Nothobranchius furzeri: one gene and its partner. The protein of the gene in region 1 interacts with the protein of each later gene in a pairwise test. Links are inferred from orthologs where the notes say so. Each region holds a gene or a part of one and is shown on either strand. Other genes may lie near its edges.

What was found.
Region 2: the proteins of prkab2 (region 1) and stx19 interact in binary tests that used the Homo sapiens proteins (3 or more experiments, as listed by UniProt). The link is inferred for Nothobranchius furzeri from reciprocal best matches to the Homo sapiens genes PRKAB2 and STX19.

What each region holds. Positions count from the first base shown.
Region 1 is NC_091751.1:56,448,474-56,451,268, forward strand, and holds the end of prkab2 (5'-AMP-activated protein kinase subunit beta-2), read left to right. Parts: intron 1-1,182; coding exon 1,183-1,297; intron 1,298-1,370; coding exon 1,371-1,504; intron 1,505-1,608; coding exon 1,609-1,677; intron 1,678-1,795; coding exon 1,796-1,873; 3' UTR 1,874-2,295; downstream 2,296-2,795. UniProt on the Homo sapiens protein: Non-catalytic subunit of AMP-activated protein kinase (AMPK), an energy sensor protein kinase that plays a key role in regulating cellular energy metabolism.
Region 2 is NC_091754.1:3,808,705-3,812,366, reverse strand, and holds part of stx19 (syntaxin-19), read left to right. Parts: intron 1-221; coding exon 222-434; intron 435-3,662. UniProt on the Homo sapiens protein: Plays a role in endosomal trafficking of the epidermal growth factor receptor (EGFR).

The DNA of each region.
Region 1 (2,795 bases):
TGCTCGGCAGCCTCGCCTCTGTCAGCGCGCCCCAGGGCAGCTGTGGCTACATCATAGCTCATCCCCACCAGCGTGTGAATGTGTGTGTGAATGGGTGAATGACTGTGTTGTAAAGCACCTTGGGGGGGGTCCCAGGACTCTAGAAGGCGCTATATAAAATACAGGCCGTTTTCCATTTTCCTGTTAGTTCGTTTGCTTCTTGTTTTTAACAAAAGACACGACAGATTTATTTGTGCTCGGCATCAGTTCGGTGTGGAGACACCAACCCCCAGTCAGAGTAAATAACAGCCTGTAGACCATTAACTGGAAAGTTTGCAGAGGTGGCTCCGAACAATGTAGTGCAGCTTAAACCAGATACAAAGCAGAAACTAAAAATAGAGATGGGTAGGTTCCTGAAGTAAAAGGAACTTCACTCTCATCAGTGATCTGAAACCAAAAATCACTGATTTTATTGTGTAACAGGATTCACGTCTTTTCCTCTCACACCATCTGAAAGGTAAAGTTGGTGAGTAATAAAAGAGAGTACGGTATGAATAATTTAAGTGGAAGGAAAATTGACTTGCTGTTGAGACGAGGAGCCACTTTAACCATGAGATGATTCGCCAGAGCATTTGAGGTTTGTTGTCTCATCCCACGCTGACAAGATGAATGAGCTGCTGGGAAAATCGATAGCAGCAATCGCCTGCTGGCTGATGCACAGCCTGGAGTCGAACACGTCATAAAACAACTATGTTTAACTGTCAGATTGTGAATGCAGCTTCTCCGCTGGATCATAGCGGGAGCCTTCAGCCTGGTTTAAATGATGTGCTGGGAAACAGCAAGTCTAGCTTTTTTTTTATCTCCTCGGTCGAGCGAGTAAATGTGAAAATAAATACAACAAAATAGTCGCTAAAACAGGTAAACAGGATTCATTAAAGTACGTCGGTCTCCTTCTGCAACTAAATCCACAACATTTCACCCTGCTCTCCATTAAAAATAAAAATTATTGCTTTTTTTGACTCATTATTTTATTATTTTATTTGCCGGAGTCACAAAAGCCACCATTACATCATATATGATAAGTGAAAGGAAGCCCATGTTTGGTATTTTCCTGCAAAATTGTTCACATGCTCATCAGGACCTGCTTCCACTCATGCAGTTTGTGTTGATCATCACCAACTGGGTCGTTGTTTTGTCTTGCAGCCGGTGGTAACGAGTCAACTCGGCACCATTAACAACCTGATCCAGGTGAAGAAGTCAGACTTTGAGGTGTTTGACGCTCTGCAGGTCGACTCTCTGGAGTGCTCCGACACATCAGGTGAGATCCGCTGTGACTCCTTATTTGGGTTAGCAGGGTGTCATCAGTCAAAGTGTGAACTGTTTTGTTCTAGATCTGTCCAGCTCCCCTCCAGGCCCGTACGGACAGGAGCAGTACATCTTTAGACCCGAGGAGCACTTCAAAGCCCCTCCGATTCTCCCTCCTCACCTGCTTCAAGTCATTCTCAACAAGGACACTAATGTATCTGTCAGTGTCTCCATCATCATCGGTCTACTTTGAATTCTAGCTGAATACTTTCAATGTCCTTTCTAAATTTGCCACTGATCATATTTCCTTTCACCCTGCTCTAGTGTGACCCTGCCCTGCTGCCTGAACCCAACCACGTGATGTTAAATCACCTTTATGCTCTTTCCATAAAGGTAGGTGCACTGGAAGCTGAAGTCTGCCTCACGTTGTTCAGACGTGGCAGGTAGAACGTGAAATATTGCATCGTTTTCTGATATAAATTCTTAAATCTCATTATTTTTGTTTGTGTAGGATGGAGTCATGGTGCTGAGTGCTACTCACAGATATAAAAAGAAATACGTCACTTCTCTGCTTTACAAGCCCATCTAAGCCTCCACTCATGGGCTCTTTAAGAGCAGCTTGTTTGTATTCTGCTATTTAGTGTTTGCTTTACCAGCGTTTGTGGTCACCTTCAGGCAAATCTTGCACTGATACACGTTTACAAGTGGGTTACACACACAGGGTGTGCACTTCTGTCTACATAGGGCTTTATTCAAAAGTAGCCAAGTGCATCTGTGGCAGTGAGAGGGATTCAAACTCAAATGTGGCTTTCACTAACACGGCATACTACGAATGCAAAAACAATAGTTTATTTTTGTGCAGGTACTGTATATCAGTCTTTTTTTTTTTTTTTTTAATCAGGTAGAGGAGTTTGAATGTGTCTAGGATTTTTCAGCAGTTTTGATTTTTGGGAACTGTTGTGTCTAGAGATGCACTGAATGAGGGGATTTTCAAGAATGTTTTTGCAAAAACTCAAAATTACGTATCTTTAAAATGTATATGTTGAGAAAAGAGGTAAAAGTTGAAGTAAACGAGGTTTTTAAAGTAAAAAAGAGACTTAATTTCTCCTTATTTGTCACTTTTGTGCTATTGAAAGCTGTAGATGTTTGAGATGACATGAGTAGGTCAAGAGTATTAAATAAGTCCGAATCAAACTTCAGCGCATCTCTAGATGTGCAAGCGTGTAACATTTCTTTCCATTTATTTATTTGCTTGCATGCAGATCAAGAATACGTTTTGACCTGCAGCGACACATTCTGTATTGTCTGACCTTGAAGTGCAAAAACGTGCCATTAAAAAGAAAAATCTAAACCCTGCGTAGTGATGATCACTGGCCGAGGGGATTTTCTAACCTGAGCTGAGATCATGTCTGATGTATCTGAACAGAAACCTTCATCCAGGTGAATCTGTTCGGTTTCTGTTCATGAGCACTTTACCGTCCTGTGTGCAGGAGCGACAGTGTAAGGTTTGA
Region 2 (3,662 bases), on another chromosome or scaffold:
AAACATAGTTATAGCCAGCATCCATTTACCTGCATTTGATGTCTTTTTCCACCTACAGACCTACAGTAAATGCAAAGTATGAGGAGGAGCAAGAGACCAAACATAAATTTTGTTTATGAAAAAAGACACACAAAGATGGGAGTAAAACACCCTCTCATTCCCCCCCCCCCCCCCCCCCCTCACTCCTTTCCCATTTTCTATTTTGCTATAATTACTTCCAGGTGATGCGTCAGTATAATGAGGGCCTGCTGACCAAGCAGGAGCGGTGTAAGCACTTCATTATCCGGCAGCTGGAGGTGTTGGAGAAAAACGTTACAGAGGAGGAGGTGAATGAGATGGTAGCCACGGGAAAATGGGAGATGTTCAACGAGAACCTGCTAAATGATGCCAGAATCACACGATCACAACTGTCAGAGATTGAACAGCGGCACAAGGTGAGAGTGACTGACCCCAAAGGACACTTTAATGTAAAATAATTGGCATCTAGCCTTTTATGACTCTTCTTCTTAAAGACCAAGTTCACTTGTTTTTCCAACACGTCTGCAGTGGTCTCTAGAATAGATGAATGCCTTGTGAGTCGATCTCTGTGGGGAAAATGCTCTTGTGCTCCTGTTTCAGGAGCTAGAAGTTAGCCCAGGGGAGAGGTGAGCAGAAAACAGAACGTCTTATTTCCTGATATTCTTGCCTCTGAATGGCTAACAGCAACACAACTCTACCACTGACTCTGTTTGCTCTGCAATGTTGATGTTTTATCTCCGCAAATTACACAAGCCTGGAGGAGTTCTGTTATGTGGTGGAGCTGCTATTGCTAACGTTAGCTTCTACTAGCCAAGACGTTCTCTGCTGTTTTCTGGATGCTAAACCAATAACATAAACCAGTCAAGATGGGCAGTAGCGGTTTTAGGCATGGGCAGACCGGGCGGCTGCCCGGGGCGGCATTTTTTCATGACACAATTGGGGGCGCACAATCGCCAAGTAAAAATAAATAAATAAGAAGAAACCTGAGCCGCAACATGGTTTTCCATCTCTCAGATATCACTGTGTCTGGGTTGGAACCAGCATGTTGGCACCATCGACATACATATATGGACAATGGGTTTCCATAGACTCCAATAACACGTTTTTGTGCTAAAATAGGAGGTGGCCACCACCGCCATTTTGACCGTGTCACAGGTTCCGTCAAGCCCAGACAATTCCACAAAAGGGAAGAGAGGTGGAGCTGAGGGTGGGGCTGTAAGGCTGGGATCAAATGACGACACCCGGTCGAACTAGCTACAAGCTAACCTGAAGCTAACCCAAAGCTAATGCGGAGGTGGGAGCTAAGCTAACGGAGGTAGCAACCTAGCTACAACCGGAGTTAACTGTGCACAACACCAGAGCTTCTGAGTCAGAGATACGCCGGGCTGACCGCTGGGTAAAACTGGGTGGAACACAGAGGTCTCCGAGAGCTCCACAAGCCATCATCCCGCGCAGCAGACAGAAGCAGTGATCAGACAGAGATGCACCGAGCTGACCGCTGGGTAAAACCGGGTGGAACACAGAGGTCTCCGAGACCTCCACAAGCCGGCAGCCGCACAGCAGACAAACGCTGCGGCGATCTGAGAAGCGCAGAGCTGCTGCTGGGGAGAACCGGGTGGAAAGGTTTCCATCCCAGAGCTCCACAAGCCGACAGCCCGTGCAGCAGACAGAAGCAGCGATCAGACAGAGATGCGCCGAGCTGCGGGGAGGGGAGAACCGGGTGGAAAACATTGGTCTCCAGAGAGCTCCACAAGCCGATAGTGGGAACCCAGCTCCACCAACATGTTATGTTTCAACCCATTTTCTAAAGTGCAGCATCATGTTAAATGCACTGGGTTTTACCCTATTACATTTAAATTTCATGGTTAAACAGTACATGTTAAAATCTAAGCTCAGCTCGGCAGTGACCTAAAATACATAAATATAATTTTACTTACCGAAAACAATGAAGTGGAGACTCCTTGGACGCTCTATTAGTGCAATTAATGCCACAGCAAGTCATTTTGTCCAACAAATGCACAAATAATATCCAAACAAGAATACACAAACACAGAGACTCAAAATCCCAGAGCAGTGTCCAGGCCAGACCGAGGCTCTACTGAGGCCTTTCCACGGAGCTAGCTCTGTGGTCACGTGGGTCTGATGCTCATTAATTATACAGAATTTTAGGCTTTTAATCCACTTAAACAGAAGAGTGAGAAAAACATTCACCCCCTTCAGAGTTGTCATGAGTGTAAACTAGATCATTTAAACCAAAAACATGTTTTGGTACCAGGCTGTCAACATGTTTATTTCTGCTGTGAAATTGGTATTTTTAACATGGGAGTCAATGAGGATTTGCTCGCTTCTGACACCAGCCCCTAGTGGATGAGGGTGGAACTGCAATTTTGGTACTTTCGGGTTGTGACCAATTTTTGAGCCGCATTGTGGGGGCTTGGTTGGCACCCCCTAAAGGCGCTCCTGCACAAGAGAATAGGGCGGGGCGCGGGGGAATTCACCTCATGGTCTCTCCCAAATGAAACAGATGGTGGTGGAGAGTCTAAATCAACTGTATTAGATGACTGATGTTCTTCCATATAACGCAATTTAATTCATAATATTATAAATACAGGCTTATAATTCCTTCACATTTTTCTGAATTATATGAAATGGCCCAAAAAAACAAAAAAAAAGAGGAAAAATAAAACGATTTTGTCTTCACCCACCAAGGTCAATTGGTTTAGTCTTGACTCGTGGTTATTGCTATTGACAACTGGAAACCTGTTTAGAGTTGAGTGCCAAGCGAGATGGACAGAAAAAGGCCAAAACCACCAGGTGCCCAATTCAGGAAAAGAAGAAGAGGAAAAACGGGCTAAAGATAAAGGTAGCACGTTCTCATGATAGGATGCACGTTTTTATTTTTTTAAGCCGGTTAACTGGGGATTTTGACGGTTACATTTGGTCAACTAATCGCTAACAGAGCAAATAGCGCTGAAAGTTTGAAACGAATGGTTCGAATTAATTCCTTGAATCCTTTTTTAATGATTCAAGCACGAGGATTGGTTAACTGCGCACTGCAGCCTGTGGCCTGCCTCCTGAACAACAAAAACACGTTGATCAAGATTCATGTTCACATAATAATGAATAAACTCTACAAGCAGAAAAAAATGTCCCAGTCCTCACTAACTTTCCTGTTATTAGCATTTCCAGTACTACTGAAGATGTTAATGAAATACATTACTGGTCTACTGATCATAGCATGCCAGCAAACTCATGCAGTCTCCAAACATGCATGTGGACCTAGCTGTGAGCCTTTTGAAGACGACACCAAGGTCTCCAGAGCTACAGGGCAAGTGGCTTTGTGACAGCACAGATGGCAGCCAAAGAAATGTGTGAAAAAATTAATGTGGAGGCTGTTTTGAAACCAAAAAGGTTGAGGTCCACAAACTGCCACTTTTCATATGAATCCCATGATGAGCCTTTCAGTGATGCCCTTATAAAGTCAAGGGATGTCTCGCCCAGGGAGCAATTCCAAGTAGAACCGCCAGTCAAGATGGGTGAGTCCATGAATGTTAATTTGCAGTGTGAAGTAGATCTGTCAGGCTTTTCTAATCCAAGCCTTTCCCGGTCTGTTTTCTACCAGCGGCTAACGCAGGCAATAGGTG